Arabidopsis thaliana: one gene and its partners. The protein of the gene in region 3 interacts with the protein of the main gene of each other region in a pairwise test. Each region holds a gene or a part of one and is shown on either strand. Other genes may lie near its edges. The genes, in order: AT2G43220, AT5G26749, AT3G25790 and bbx23.

What was found.
Region 1: the proteins of AT3G25790 (region 3) and AT2G43220 interact in a two-hybrid assay, tested with the Arabidopsis thaliana proteins (one large-scale study listed by BioGRID).
Region 2: the proteins of AT3G25790 (region 3) and AT5G26749 interact in a two-hybrid assay, tested with the Arabidopsis thaliana proteins (one large-scale study listed by BioGRID).
Region 4: the proteins of AT3G25790 (region 3) and bbx23 interact in a two-hybrid assay, tested with the Arabidopsis thaliana proteins (one large-scale study listed by BioGRID).

Annotation. Positions count from the first base shown.
Region 1 is NC_003071.7:17,962,650-17,966,773, reverse strand, and holds AT2G43220 (Cysteine/Histidine-rich C1 domain family protein), read right to left. Parts: upstream 2,556-4,124; 5' UTR 2,435-2,555; coding exon 818-2,434; 3' UTR 563-817; downstream 1-562. Other genes in the region: AT2G43230 (Protein kinase superfamily protein), read right to left, coding at 1-4, 114-181, 267-299; AT2G43210 (Ubiquitin-like superfamily protein), read right to left, coding at 3,214-3,452, 3,543-3,785, 3,974-4,124.
Region 2 is NC_003076.8:9,397,483-9,401,218, forward strand, and holds AT5G26749 (C2H2 and C2HC zinc fingers superfamily protein), read right to left. Parts: upstream 1,786-3,736; 5' UTR 1,758-1,785; coding exon 1,625-1,757; intron 1,541-1,624; coding exon 1,419-1,540; intron 1,272-1,418; coding exon 1,208-1,271; intron 1,077-1,207; coding exon 1,005-1,076; intron 913-1,004; coding exon 803-912; 3' UTR 533-802; downstream 1-532. Other genes in the region: SK 11 (shaggy-related kinase 11), read right to left, coding at 2,100-2,182, 2,285-2,387, 2,502-2,585, 2,687-2,782, 2,882-2,932, 3,020-3,160, 3,248-3,304, 3,401-3,475 and 1 more.
Region 3 is NC_003074.8:9,411,111-9,415,775, reverse strand, and holds AT3G25790 (myb-like transcription factor family protein), read right to left. Parts: upstream 2,725-4,665; 5' UTR 2,581-2,724; coding exon 2,436-2,580; intron 2,332-2,435; coding exon 2,036-2,331; intron 1,715-2,035; coding exon 1,495-1,714; intron 1,382-1,494; coding exon 1,305-1,381; coding exon of another isoform or gene 1,266-1,304; exon of another isoform or gene 1,161-1,265; coding exon 825-1,160; 3' UTR 536-824; downstream 1-535. UniProt on the Arabidopsis thaliana protein: Probable factor involved in nitrate and phosphate signaling in roots. Integrates nitrate and phosphate starvation responses and adaptation of root architecture, depending on nutrient availabilities.
Region 4 is NC_003075.7:6,368,280-6,371,919, reverse strand, and holds bbx23 (B-box zinc finger family protein), read left to right. Parts: upstream 1-1,969; 5' UTR 1,970-2,393; coding exon 2,394-2,594; intron 2,595-2,665; coding exon 2,666-2,953; 3' UTR 2,954-3,091; downstream 3,092-3,640. Other genes in the region: AT4G10260 (pfkB-like carbohydrate kinase family protein), read left to right, coding at 1-20, 99-215, 300-434; ATHSP22.0 (HSP20-like chaperones superfamily protein), read right to left, coding at 796-1,383. UniProt on the Arabidopsis thaliana protein: Probable transcription factor that may be involved in seedling photomorphogenesis.

The DNA of each region.
Region 1 (4,124 bases), on a different chromosome or scaffold from region 3:
TGTTCTAACATGTTGCAGGAAAACAGAGGACTCTGCCTTCAAATCAACAGGCTAATAACAACAATTGTCTATCATGATCAACACAAAGGCAAATTAGGTTTCTTTATAAATACATTTGTAGATAAGTATTTTCAAATTTTGTAAAAACATTAGAATTTGTTGCGCGTTGATCTTGATTGACCTAAGACCATTACGTGATCTCAAGACATGATTTAAATAAGATGACATTTTTAATGATCAAAGCTGTGTTTGCGTGTAATGCTTACCACTTGACCACGACGATGAAAATCACGATCCATCAGAAATCAGAATGCAATTTAGAAACAAACGATCAACGAGCAATAAACCAGAGAGACGAATCAAAAGGAAAAAATGTTTGTAGACAAATGAGAGGCAGAGACGAAAGGAGGTGATGAGCTCGTGGAGAAATTTAGGAATGAAAAAAATTTGGAATCCCAAATAACTACGGAAAAGAAAAGACAGAAAACACAAAAGATAAAAGAAAAAGCTAAGAAAAGAAAGAAAACGTCAAAAGGAAGCGACAGAGAGGCGTGTGATCAAGAATAGAACAAACATCCCAATTTTGGTGAATTATAATAAAAGGTGTGAAGAATAATTACCTTCAAAGTCTCTCTCTCTCTCTTTCTCTCTTTCTCATAAATAGTTTTATGAACTGAATGAGCAAACCAACAATAAATCCAAATATAGAAAACAAGTTTATCTGAAAATAATTGAAAAACATTACACAGCCTCCATCTGTAAAAACCCATATTCTTTTTATGTTTCCAAATCCTTCCTTTCGCCTTCCTTCAGGCATTCAGAATTTCGCATTCTGAAAACAAGCTTTTGAGCAATAGTAGTACTCAATATTTTTTCTAGTAACCTTGAAAAACCTAGGGAACCTACAACGAGAGCCACAATCAGTGCATTTTGGTCTAGAATCGTGATCGTTGAAACCCACTTCAAACTTATTCTCCCTGTTCTTCATTATTATTCCAGGTTTTATGTTCAAAAAGTCCCCGGTTACGCATTCAATATGGCACACGACCCCACAATCATCGCATGTATAGAACCATCTTTCAGGATTGGTTTCGGCTTCACAGATTTCACACCAATATTTACCTTCAGGCGCCTCCTCCCCAGAGCGCAAAACTAAATAATGTGTATCACACCTATGCTTTATGACTAATGGTAGAGTGGCGCATTTGTAATCCAAAGAATAATCACAATCAACACAACGCAGCACATTGAGTTTATTCTCACCGCAAGCTAAGCAAGTACCACGATCTATTGTGGTTAGAAATAACGTGTGAGGATGAAGTTTGGGGTGCTTGAAGAAAGAGAGAGACGCACACAACACATCGAGTACCACACCCTCTTCATCCTTGTAGCTAAAACCCCTTCCATCTCTATTGCAAGCATCACAACTGAAATTTTGTTCGCTAAAATCCTTCCCGAAGCGAAGATAAAATATACCTGTGGAAAGTCCATGTCGTTTCGTAAGAGGAAGATTCGCACACTCTTCGTGAAGAATAAACTTGCATTCCACGCACTTGTAGTGCTTCTCAGAAGAGACTGGACGGGCGCAAGCTTCACAATGCATGTCTTCAGCACCATCTATAAAAACATCCTCAATAAGGAATAAGTTATGTTTCTCGTGGGAGAAATGATAAATTACCCCTTCCTCGATCACTTCAAATGGCGCAACGTCTACTACTTCCTCAGGTATCCCTTCGAGTTCGGTCCCATCCCACACGTCTTTTCTAGTTGCACATTTTGAATGAACAAAAAAATCTGGACATTTGTTGCATGAATAGCCTCCGTACGTGGTGTTGATATCTTGACGACAGATTTCACATACCCAATTCCCACGTTTGAGAGGATATGAATGTGAAATGCGATGATCATGACGATTGATGTTGATGACGTGTGGTAGATCAATACAATCATAATGAAACATGACAGAGCATGGTAGGCATACATAAGGGTTCCGTTCACCATGCGTACCACAAGCATTGCAAGTGAAGGATACTTCCCTTCCCATGAGGGTGAGTGCATGCTCGTGGCACTTTGGATGATCCACTTTGTGGGGCGGGGGCCTGTTTCCGCATTCCATATCTATGCTGAAATTGCATAACTTACAATGGTAAACGAAGTTGGAGAGTTTCCGTTGACAGAGGCTGCACTTCTCGTCAGAGTAACTAGGTGGCCCTTGGAGGAGAACCTCTAGGGGATGGTTCGGGTGACAAGGGTGGTTAATATTCTTCGTTGACCTTGGCACGCAATAGGGATGCCATTTTATATTGCATCTGAAGCATCCATAAAAAACTTCAAAGAAGGGTATAGCACTCCTATGGCACTCTTGGCAAGTGAACATACGATATTTTTCATATAAAGGATGTTCGTGCCAAAAGAGGTCCAGCGTCTTAGCCATGGGCAATGTTAAGAATGGTTGTGGATACGATGAATGAATAAGGATCAGGGAACTTTAAGAAAATTGAAAAGGTTTAACTTCAATTCCTAATTGATCTCTAAATCCTTATATTGTTGACCCGTATCACTACCCACGATCTCCGATATAAATCACTCAAGTTGATCATCGTTAGTTGTACGCAACTAATAGAACTGGTTTAGTCTTTTCTTAAGGCTCAATTTGGGGGGTCCAAGTGTTTATTATATGTCAAAAAAATTATTTAGTTAGTCCGACTAATCTTTCACCGGATTATTAAAATGCGTACTCATCGTTGACTATAGAAATATATATTAAAAAATTGTCTGGTTGATCACATATATATGTTTTGTTATCCGAGTTGATAATATTTTGGAAGGTGTGAGGATGAGCACAAGGGAAACCGCTAGGAGAACAAGAAGCTGTCAGTGAACGCCTTTTCACAGTTCAATGAAGTCTTCACTTGCATAGAAAAGAATATACAGATTCTTATATTTAAGCAACCATTTAACTCTAATATTTTTGTTATGATTGGAACCGAAGTTAATCAAACGACACTAATTAATTTCTAGAACCGAATTTAATCAAACAGAAATTGCTAGTTTTTTTAGATTTAAATTTAATACGAGCAACCGAAAAAACGGAAACGCATCAGGATACATTTTGCAGCTGGTCTCTTAAATGGTTCATAAAGAGTCAAGTATAAAAAGTAAACACCCGAGCTGTTTCTGTATCTATCCACACAGATTTCAACTTCTCTTATTTCATCGTCTATCATTACTGTCTCCACCGCTTCCACCACCGTACTGTGTGGAGTTTCCGTTCCAAAAAGCGTTTCCATCACCAAACGGAGCCTCATCTTCATTGTGATTCAACGTATGGATGTTACTTCCAATCCGAGAAGTGGTTGGTCTCCTATTCCTAACGTTGCTCCTACCTTCTGATGGATCTTGAAAGGACGTCCCTACTTGCCCCAGATTGTTTCTCACCTCCGTATTTGGTCCTATAGATAGAAAAAGAGAGAATCAGATTAGCAATTACACGACTTTCTGCATTAGAATGGATTTTATAAACTCATCATATTCCCGCATACTTGTTTGACGTTCTGGAACAGAGCTTGATGCGTTGGCAGTACCACCGCCAAAATATGAAAACGGGTTTGCATAAGACAGTACTCTTCTAACATAAGCAAAGTAACCGCCACTATTAGGGTCTGTGTTGTTGTTAGACTCCGAGTAAGATGTTCCTCTTTGATAGACGGTTGCTCTTTTTCGCGGAACTACTACAAGTGCTTGTCTATCGAACAATCTCAACTCGGATAGAGACTTATCCAGATCTGCAGAGATTAAGAGTAATGGAGTTATGTATCTACTACACTAGTCCAAACTGACCAGAAAAAAAAAAAAAAAAAACCTAAATGGCAGAAAACATCATCTTCGATCAAGATGAAGCTGGTTTTAAGGTAAAATGTTCTTTACCAAATAAAAATAAAAATCTATTGGATGCATTGTAGATTTTACGTACCTTGGTCAGTATACACCTTACGTGGGTAAGGAACCGCAAGATCATAAGCACCCAGTCCGATTGTTTGATTACTGTTCACATAATCCTTGACCATTCTCAATATACTTGTCACAGAAAACTTCTCCTGAAGGCTACTACCATCAGGTAATCG
Region 2 (3,736 bases), on a different chromosome or scaffold from region 3:
TAAGTAATTATAATACGCTAATCAAACTCTTCTTTATAAACTCAAACTATTTACTTTGTTCATAATTAAAATAAAAAATAAACTAAAACCCTCCATTATAAACCTAAAAACCAATATATAAATTTGAAATATTAACTAATAAATCATAACCTATCTTTTATAAACTCAAACCAACATGCTCGACTAAATTACTCTTAGGAGATTCGAAGATATTTCTCTCAACAATAAAGAGTTTAAAATTAGTTCTATTTTATGGAGTTGAAGAAATGAAAATGAAGTTAATAATTTAAATATTTGATTCTGAACAATCTGATTTTTCTTTTAGCCAACTTATACTCTGTTTCTCAATAATGTATTTTCTAGGGAAAAAATTGTTCCAACTTTGTAATTAATCTACAGCCTTAGGAATTGCTCCAACTTTGTCAAATATTTTGATAGTTTGGCTTGGGAAGTCTTGTTTAGCACATGGCCAGGAAGCGGATAGCGAATTAGCGATATCCTATCATCACGCAATGAATAGGGACGAGCCAACGAAATTTAAAGAATTTTATCAGAATATCGCACAGTATGTTAAATTGCAAATTTGCCATGTCCAAACTCCGAACAATGTCTCTAAAGTTGACGACAAATTGAGTAACAAGACGACAATTTGGTTGACATTCTTCCAACCTCGAGTCTGAAAAGAGACAAGCTTGTGGCTAAAAGCTTGGTAATGGCAGAGCACAACGAGACAAAGATTAGTCTTTTCCTTTCAAGTAGAATCATCAATGTTGAAACTGAGCATTATTCAGAGAATTTATATCTATCCCCAGTCTATGAAGGGAAGCTGAGGATAGCCTTGCTCAGGAGGCGGTTTTAGCGATGGCGGAAGATCAAACCAACCTGTTCCTGGTCTCCCACTAACAAAATCACCTGTTTTAGACAATTCAAACTTCCAACATCAGATTTTCTATAAATGCTTAAATATTAGAGAACTTGAATGACGAAAAAACAAGAACGCATACGGTTTAAAGTACTTCCTTGGATGTGTTGTTGGTTAAGCATGTCAACACGAAGTTGTGTATTATTTGTGAATCCTGCATTTGAATTCAACAAGAGGATGATGTTTTAAGCAAATCTTGCGCATAGTAGAGACTTCTTTAAAGCTTTAAGTAGCCTAAAAGAGACCAAATCACTGAAGTCAAAAATCAACAGGTTTTGACCTAACCTGTGCTTCCTGTATTGTTGTTAGGATGGAAGTATCTGCAAGAATCTCCAAATGGGCAAAAATTCTGCAAAACCCATTAAGAAAGGAACAGACTTTACTTGGAAGATTACATACATACACACATATGCAATGAATTTTTTTGCAGAATCAAACAAAGCAATGTAAAATGTGTGATTCCACCAGAATATAAACGAAAAGGACAAGACTTTACACATCCAGAGATTGCTAGGAATGATGAACATAGCGAAACAAAATCAATCCGACGTACCGAGGTAATGAATCGATTGCAGAGACCTTTCGTCGCAAAATTGGAGACTTGTGGATTAACAAGATCTAAGAATTTCGTATTAAAAGAAACAGAGATGTTAAAAATCGTTCCTTTAAGAAACAGAGAGAAAAAAGAGAGAAGAGAGATACCTGAGGAAGAAGAACTGTACCAAAGGGCTTTAGCTCGAAGATGAGGTTTGCTTTGAAGATGGCGTTTTCTAGCGACTTGAGTGTCTTGAAACTCTTTCTCGCAATAATCACAGTAATATTTCCCCGACGGCATCTTCCGGCGATGACGACGACGACTCGTAGAATCAAAAAGTTTTGGCTTTTATTAGTTTTAGGCGCGTGAGGATACTTGTATTTGCTACAGTGACTTTTAGGGTCTTTGTTTGATGATGTTGCAGAGGAAGAAGAAGATACAAAAGCAGAAGTAGCAAACTCTTTATCTAGATAAAAAATCTTGGTGGGCTTTTACATTATGAACCAACCAACCATAGTAATAACTCTTTTTTTCTCTACTCATACAACAAACAAAGGGTGCATATCAGTTTGTGACATATTGATACATAGAGAGGTAATTTATAAGAAGTGTTTGTTGTGTTCATGCTACATTAAGAGGAAATCACAAACCGAGCCAAGGACACTGCTTCCTTGCATGCTCAGGTACTAACTTAGCTACCATCTCCAATGGTACACCTTTCAGCTCTGTTTCACAACAATTACAGGTATAGCTTTAGTAAGGTAAAACTTTGATGATTTTACAGGTAAGTTGGAGATAAACACCATTAGGAAAGGGAGATGTTGTACCGTGAGGCTTGAAGTTGAAAAGCGGTGGAAGGAAACGTCCATTAGGTAGACGTGCGTTTGGGTCTCTTAACTCATCAAAGAATGGGTGGACTAATGTGTCGAGCTGTGATCAGGTTTACGATTCAAGTAAAAGCAAGTCAGACAAAAGAAAAATAGGAAATGAAAGGACCATCGAGAAGATTCACAGAAGAATGTTGAATTTGTAAGTAATACTCACAGCGGCACTTCGTAGATTAGGAGAGTATTGAAGAAGTCTTGAGACCAAATCAACAGCTTCTGGAGGCATGCGTTTGTGGAAAATCTGTGAATATATTATGACGAGTAGATATTGTCACATTGACTGTAACTGCTACTGAATAACACATTGACAAGTTGATTTGATGAATATAAGTTTATTTCTACCTTGTGCCATGGATGAGCTTTAATCTGAGGGAATTTGAATTCCGTGTAGTTTGGGTTCATGCACTTGATTTCTTCTCTAGTAGGCGTTCCCAAGACCTACCCCAAAGCATAACAAAAAACATTACATCAAATCTTCTCTCAGTATTATTGAAAACAAGAACTTGTTATCAAAGTGAACAAGTGCAAAGCTTATACCTTGATAATCTCTACAAGTTGATCAACACCGCTCTCACCAGGGAACAAGGGCTGTCATGAGCAGAGAATAGAGTTTGTCAATCACAAAATTCCAGGTTAAGTAGAACAAAAATGTTTGAATAAGATTTAATGCATTACCTGTCCAAGCAATAGTTCAGCTAGAACACATCCTGCAGACCAGACATCAATGGCTGTCGTATACTCGGTTGCTCCAAAAATAAGTTCAGGTGCTCTGTAATACCTCGAGCAGATGTAGGAAATGTTTGGTTCTCCTTTTACCTGTTTTCAGATATTACAATGATCAACAAGATTGAATCTAACTTTTTCCAAGAAACAAAGTACCCGGAAGAGGTTTATCAAACTCACCAATACTTTTGCACTTCCAAAATCACATAGCTTTACTTGATGAGTGTGCGGATTTACCTGTTCCATTACAGGTGAAAAAAGTAGCATTAGACAATGAAGAAAAGTATATTCCCGGGTATACTGTGAGCTCCTGTTTATTTAACTTGTACATACCAACAAGTTTTGAGGTTTTATGTCACGATGACACACACCAATGCATCGGTGAATGTAAGATAAGGCTCTAAAAATCTGCCAAACATAGAGAAATCCGATAAGAGATCCAAAACATAACTCTAAATCTAACAGAAATGTAATAATTGATACCTGATAAGTGTAAAGTTTGACGTATATAAGAGGCATTCTCTGATTCAGTTTGTTGTAGTGTTTGATAACACGATGAACAGTTTCTGGAACGTACTCAAGAACAAGATTGAGGTAAAGCTCATCTTTTTCAGTGGTTGAGAAGAAACAATGTTTCAGAGACACAACATTAGGATGGTCAAGTAGCCT
Region 3 (4,665 bases):
GTCAGCAATTTTCATGTGGCTTTACACCTTGTTTCTTGCCCTTAAGTTACAAAAAAACTTGTCTTTTAACATATTTTGGGTTTAATATTTACACAGTTATATACTTATATGGAAAAATTGTATTTACAAAAGTAAAAGGAACAAATAAAGAATAATTCACTCCACGAGAAGGAGCCCAACGTGCACATTTGTGTTAATATCCAGTACAAGCAACAAGAGAATAAAGTTTAACCTGAAAAACATATTTGCAGATTATGCTCTTCAGATTCCGGCATATTCTACCGAGTTCCGATCCTTCTGTATGGCATAATTTTTTTTATTTTCATTCAAAAAAGTTTATATATGTATTTTTCTTCTGTTTTCGAAGACATTTTACATTTCTACAATGTTTCTGTGTATCTTATATTACTATAGCAAATAGAAACCTGGCCGACATACATATGTTAAGGACGAAATTAATTAATTTGAGTTTGTGACTGACATTTATTAATTTTGGTGGCTAAAGCCTCTATAAAAATATATGCTGATAATATACCATCATTCTACATATAATTACGATTCTTTCTATATACGATTCTTCAACTAGTAATCTAATAATTTTGTGTTATTAACTTATTATCATCGATATGCATATTGCACGACGTAAAAAAATATAGTATGCATTAGCTAATATGGATCTTTGATCAAAGATATCATCGGCTAATAGAAAAAAACCAAGAAACTAAAAATAACATAGAGTCACGCTCCAACATCTATATATATACACTCTTCACAATATTAATGTCTATAACTTTTTTCTCTTAATAAATAATCAAAAATTAAATTTATGATATTATTTTTGCATCTTTCGTCTTTGTACGAGTAGAACAAGACATAGCTGGTGAGCTACACCGAAAAAATCCGTTGTTAGAGCATCTTGATCTATCTTCCGAAATCTTCCTACCAAAATTGGAATGCCTCGGCCACTCGGACGGCAACGAACTGACCATAGGCCCATAAATCCCGGTGGTCTCACCCGATGCGACGGCGTTGACTGCGTTGGCCGTTGAATGGTTAGTCTGTGGGACCCATATTCCACCAACCACCACGAAATGTTGCGTTTGAGAGTTTCTGTTGTTCGGTGTTGTTTGGCTTGGCCGTCTTGCATGCAGCCTATATTTCTATTTATCATTAAAAAAAATATGAAACAATAAATATTATTTTCCTTCTAAATTATAAAAACATTTGTAACTAAAATGATGAAATTAATATATACCTTTTACATATTAGTTACATGTATTTTTCATGGAATATGATTTACTAACCTGTAAATGACTTTTGACTTCATCATTTGTTAACCCATCAACCTTCATTATATCTCTTATCTGTTTCGGCGTAGCTACTTCAAAATTTAGTGAACAAAAAGGTCATTACGAATTAATTAAACTTCATGAGCCCTAACAAAAAGATATGACTACTGATATATATGTTTTAACTTAAAACCAAGAAACGCACCATGAGGGCCACCAAGTTGTTTAAGAGCGTTCAAGAAGCGTCTGTGTAACTCTTGCGACCAACACCGCCTATTCTTTCTCTGCCCTCTTCTGCCACCGCCACCGCCACTGCCACCATCGCTAGTAGTCACCGGTGATTTTATGTTGTTGTTTTTCTTCGCTGCTTCATCGTTTATTTTTATCAACTCTACCAGCGTCTCTGTCTTTTCTTGTGAGCGATCCTGAATACGCAAAATGCTATTAGAAACTTAAATTACAAAACAAAATCTTTTTGTGAGCAATTTACTATCTTTTTGTGCACCCATCCTTTTTCGGTCTATTAAAAAAAACAAAAACTGGAAGAAAAAAGAATAATCTATTTGTGAAGTTGTAAGTTACAAACACAATCGCATAAAGTACACAGAAGGTTATGCGTTTAGTCTTTACGTTAACAATTAACAACGTCAATAGGCTGGTTTGGAAACAATACAGTAAATGTAATTCAAGGCAAACAAAAACACAAATGTAAACAAAGAAAAAATAAAATAAAATAAAAATCTTACCTGTCTATTATTAGAAACAACTGCGTCGGATTGGTTCCAGAGCTGAACAGACTTGAGCCATTCAGATTTCATGTTCTTGTCATCAAAATCTATGTCGGTTTCATGAGACTGGTGTTCTTCATCATCATCATCTTTGTCATCAACCTCTTCTTCTATGGAGGTCGAAGAGTGTTTGATTGGTATGAACAGATCCAAGATGCGCCCACATTCTCCGGTGGTCTGCTCTGAGCACTCCGACTGTCCGTATAAGTTATCCGTCGACGTCCCTGATATCTCCCTCTTATACGCCTCAATCGCTAAATTCCATAAAACATTTTTTAAAAATCTTTAGATCTAACATTTAATCCATATATATAAACTCATTATATCTTATATGAAATGTAAATGCATATGTATGTACCTTGAGTCACGAGCTCTACGCAAAGAGGAAGCTCGCGTTGGAAAACATTGATCTTGCGACGTTCTTCTTCGAGAGCTTCGATGTACTCGCAACATTTTTCACGTTTCTGATTGTCATTCTTCATATTACTTAAGTTCTTGATCATGCTGGTTTAAGGGACAAAACAAAAAACCAGCTTTGTTTTCGAATAATTGATAACTTTAACTATAAAGTTAGTCAAGAAGAGATGAGTTATGTCTCTTTATAAAGACAACGTATATATGGCTCTATAGGGTTTCTCAAGGATCATTATTTGAAAGAGAGAAGTCGGGCCGTCGCATTACAAGGCGAATCTTGCTTTTGTTTATAAAATAAGTATATACCTTCCCAAGTTAAATATTTTTTTTTCCCTTGTTGTATAGTAGTATTGATCCAGTGGTGAATATTCCTGGATGTGATTCCAAGTTTTTTTCGTGTGAACTTTATATTTATTTGGGTATATCCAACCAAGGTTTAAAGAAGTCCTATAACAACATTCATAAGTTAGAAAATGTCTGCGATTCCACTACAACAGAAATCGAATTTTGGAAGACTATAAACTATTCATTCTATTATTTTTACAAGTTTGATTATTATGTCATTTATAGAATTCAATACGTGGGAAAGAATATATGCAAATCCTTAAAAACAGCCGCCAAAATAACACTAAACGTGCATGAGCTCTTTTGTTCTGTAAGTATTAATTTCACCCACACAAAATCATATATAAAACGTTGAAAATGTATTTTTCAATATCCCAATATGAAAAGCCAAATGTCTCTTCGTAGACAGCCGAAACATGGGAGAAGAAAAGCCATATATAAAAAAAAAACTGTAATATACTTGTTGAAATTTCATAGGACCTTGAGAATTTGTTGAATTCGTTATAACCTTATCCATAAATACACATGTAAACTAATATATATATCCACACAATATGAGTTCCTATATATCTCGTGTTTTTGACCGGTAATTTTAATTATGTCAAGTAGACGATTACTAAGTACACCTACTAATATATATGCGAATGCATCTTCCCAGTATAATGGCCTGCCAATGCATTTCCCGGTCAAAGATATAACCTAATGCTACACATATCAATTTATATGCTATGCTGTTGTTATATCCATATAATTTGGAATTAGATATGAAATCAAACGTGATTAAGGGCTCTAATAGCTGTCAACTTTAATGATAAGAAAATATGTTGCCTCTATAGAAATTGGTGTGTAATGAGCTAATATGTTCGGGTGATGTCCAAAATATCAAGAAATTACCCGCAAATTGTTAGAGACCAACATCAAATTTATTACTCAAAATTTTAAATATCGATTTATATGTTATGATGTTATGATACAAATAGATCCACCTATTCGTAGTCTCGAGAAATCAAAATTGTGTTTAACAGGCTTATCTGTTTTGATTAGATTGAAACGTATTTTAAATAAAGAAATTAGTTGGCAAATAGAGTTTAGAGATGTATTTTAGTGTTGGATTATAATTGTCCCCTCGGAGTCTCAAAAGGCCATATTCAGTGTTCACCACTGGCCGCGGCCGAACAAAAAGACGGCCTCATGTATTGAACCCAACATGCCAACTTTATATACGGCCTTGTGTATTGTTTCCTACTTGGGCTCAATTTATCATCAATTTTTTCCACCCCTTTCTCGTATCTCCAATATTCGTATGCAATAGTACCACTAAACTCCCCAATATTCGTATGCAATTGTGAACCAAAAAAAAAGGTACCACTAAACTCCCCAACTTTGTGGGCTTCCCATATTGATATCAAACGAAAATATCTATATATAAACTTAAATCTAAAGTATAGAAGAAGAAAAAAAATCGCAAAATTGGTGGTAACCTATAAATTTTCAATTGTTTAAGATCAAACCAATGAACTCATCCTCCTAAAAAAAGATAGAAAACATAAACAAATACTGTATTTATCCTCAAATACTTCGTGATTTGTTTGTCAAAAAACTGGCATAAACGTTTAAAAGTTAGGTGATAATACCCAAGTGTCTCGGATCTATCAGACCCTATTTTTCAATTTGTATACTACTTGATATATGTTCTATGAAACTAAAATCTTTTTCAATAAAACGGATCACAAATCCGAATTTTGCATTCTCTCGTAGCTAAAATTCTCTCTTTTTTGGTATTACAAAAAAAACACCATCTTGGTTTTTATATTTGGTAAATAATTCAA
Region 4 (3,640 bases), on a different chromosome or scaffold from region 3:
GTTGCAGATACTACACAAAGGTAAGGGATCAAATTCGACATGATTGTGTGTGTTTTGGAGTTATCTAAACAAAGTTTTTCGACTGTCGAAAAGCGCAGAAATTCAAAGGGAGAGTGCCTGGATACGCTGTGAAAGCAGTTGACACAACTGGAGCTGGTGATTCATTTGTTGGTGCATTTCTTGTCTCATTGGGAAAAGATGGCTCCATACTCGATGTACGTATAACCAAAGACGTTTTCAGTTCATAGATAAGGCATATGAAATTGAGTTTTGGTGATTGAGTAATGTGAATGTTGCAGGATGAAGGGAAGCTGAAGGAAGCACTTGCCTTTGCAAATGCATGTGGAGCAGTGTGTACTACTCAGAAAGGAGCTATTCCTGCACTTCCCACTCCAGCTGATGCTCAAAAGCTCATGAAATCTAAGTCTAAATAGTTTCAATCTTGTTCTGTTCTGTTTCTGTTTCTTCACTCTTGTCAATTTCCTTGGTTTTCACAGAGTATTTTCTCTGTTATCTGAATAAATCTAGTTTCAAGTTTCTGCCAAAATTGATTCCAAACTAATTCATATACCTTGATTTTTAATTACATGACTAATGTTCTATAACAAATAATCAAGAGGCTCTATAATATAAAGAAATGAACATTTTATTGCATATAGAGAAGGTTACAGAGATTTTGGTAGATAGGTTACAAAACATGACACTCCATTTAGCTTACACAATATGAAACTCAAAACTCTTGGATTTATAATAACTCTCTTCAGACTCAGAAAGTAATATATAGTTTCTTCAATATCAGAGTTCTTTGGATTCAGAAGAGCTGATTTTTGCAGTTTGGTCTTCTTCAGCTGCAATGTTAACAACTCTTGGACCCTTAACTTTTTCAGGAGATAGTTTCGTGAGGTTAATAGTGAGCACACCATTCTCAAGCTTGGCCTTGACTGATTCCATATCTACATTATCAGGTAGCTTGAACTGTCTCCAGAATTTTCCATATGATCTCTCCACTCTATGCCATTGATCTCCTTTCTTCTCTTCTTCTCTTTTCCTCTCTCCACTGACTCGTAAAACTCCGTTCTCCTCCACTTCTATCTTTACTTCATCCTTCTTCAAACCGGGGATATCGAGCATTATCTCATGCCCTTCTGCTGTTTCTTTCCAGTCTACTCTTGCTGGAGACAGAGCCACGCTTGTGTCCCTCTCGAGTCCTAATGGGATTCTCTCCAAGATCTTGAATGGATCAGGGAACCGGTCTAGCCAGAGATCGGATAGCAAGCTGCCTGGAGTAGTTTCAAGTGCAGAAGACAAAGACCCTTCACTTGTTTTGATGTTTCCAAGCAACAAAGCTCCTATGAAGAAGATGCTTAGCAAGTGCTTCATCATGGTTAGTGATTTGGATTTATTGTAGAAGGTTGAAACCAAAATTTTAGGCTTTTAACTTCACTTTCTTATTTTGTTTTCTATGATGGTTAGTCTCAATTCTCTGGTGTATATATAATACACATTGTATGAAGAATGAAGAAGTTTCTTGAAATATCTTTCTTTTGGTAGAGTTTTGCAGAGAGAGATATTGAGATTGTTCTAGCTTTTTTGGCTGTGACTTGTACTAATTATGTTACTACACGTTGGATAAGTTTGTTGTGCCTTTAAGGGTCTTCTCTCATGTTCCAGAGACTTCATGTAAAAACTATGGATTGGATTGGGCCTTAATAGTTATTTATATCCAGGCCTATTTTTATTGGCCCATTATGATATTTGGGACCAATTCTGTTTGTGATGAGTCTTAGAATTTTGGCTGCTGCATGGGAAAGGAATGGGAGAGAGTTTGAATGATGCCATGCTCCATTTCAGTTTCTGACAACATTTTAGAGTTTTTGACCTCTATTGCCCTATGGCTAGTTACTTTTAATTCCACAGTCTTTATGCATATTGTGGTCCTGCCTTTACTTTTGGCTTGCCATGCTTGTGTCTTAAGAGAAGCTTGTCGCTATGTTTGTCAATTTATGTTTTCAAAAGAAAGTAAAACTATACAAGCTTCTGAAAAAGATCTTGTCATGGAGATTTTGGTAGGAGAACATTTATTGGTTTAAATGCCACCCAAAGTTGGTCTAATAACCCCATATTGAGATAAAAATTTCGTCTTCGACATATCGTTGTATATCTATATATAGTTCTCTCTTTTCATGAATAAAGATCATCAATTCCTCTTGGTATCAGAGCCAGGTTTTGATATAACTTATGATCCCACCACACATGTGAACTTATTTAAGCTTGTTCTTTCTTGTTTCCTATATTTAGATTCACTCCTTGTCCTAATTCTCATAAATGTCAAAGAACATTTGTTCTGTCTGTGTATTGGCAATTTACATTGATTTGGATTATAAAGTTGAAGGATGAAGATACAATGTGAAGTGTGTGAAAAGGCTGAAGCAGAAGTACTTTGTTGTTCAGATGAAGCTGTACTATGCAAGCCATGTGACATTAAGGTTCATGAAGCTAATAAACTTTTCCAAAGACATCACCGAGTCGCCTTACAAAAAGATGCAGCCTCAGCCACCACAGCTTCTGGAGCTCCTCTATGTGATATCTGCCAGGTTCCAATCTCTTTTCTCTTTAAACACTCGCTGAGCTCTTTAACCGATGTCTCATATATATGTATATGCAGGAGAGAAAAGGGTACTTCTTCTGCTTAGAGGATAGAGCAATGCTGTGCAATGATTGTGATGAAGCCATTCACACTTGCAATTCTCACCAAAGATTCTTACTTTCTGGAGTACAAGTTTCTGATCAGTCTTTGACTGAAAACTCCGAATGCAGCACTAGTTTTAGCTCTGAAACTTACCAGATTCAGTCAAAAGTGTCTCTGAATAGTCAGTACTCTAGTGAGGAAACTGAAGCTGGAAACTCAGGTGAGATAGTACACAAGAATCCTTCTGTAATCTTAAGTCCTTAGAGATATACACACAACATCATGGTTCCGGAGCCATTGATGTTTAATAATAAAAGTTTCTGTAATATATTATCTTACACAGAAGAAAAACTTGTTGAGGAATCAAATCTTTTTGTTACAACAAATATTAAAACCATGACTTAACAACTAAAGTCAGTGGTCATGGCATCGACACAACCAAAGCTAAGTTGTTCCAATAGTTTCAAGAATTGTAGAAATGTGAATACTATTTGAATCGATCTTAGATATATAAACAAAATTTAAAAAATGAATAAATAATTATTGATTAAATATAATTATTTATCTCAAATATCAAGACTTGGATAGAAAATGCATAACTTAATGAGACAGTCATAGATTACTACTATTAGCTCTTGTACTTTCTTTTTGCCTCACTACAAGAACTATAGACCTTGTTGGATTTGAACCAACGTTGGAACATAACTGATTAAGAAGTGACCATTGAGATTCTTCCTCATCATGATCCAATTGTATACATTTATCTTCTCCCACAACGTGTAAAAAAACGTTGGAGACCCCATGCTTACCACGACACACCAAAACTTTGTTCTCCTGGTCGACCAAAAATTTATCCCACTAGCAAACCAAAAAGGCTTGTAGAAACTTTCTCCATGACGCGGCTCCGGTACCGTCAATCTTAGTTGCAATCCCTACATGATACATCTATAT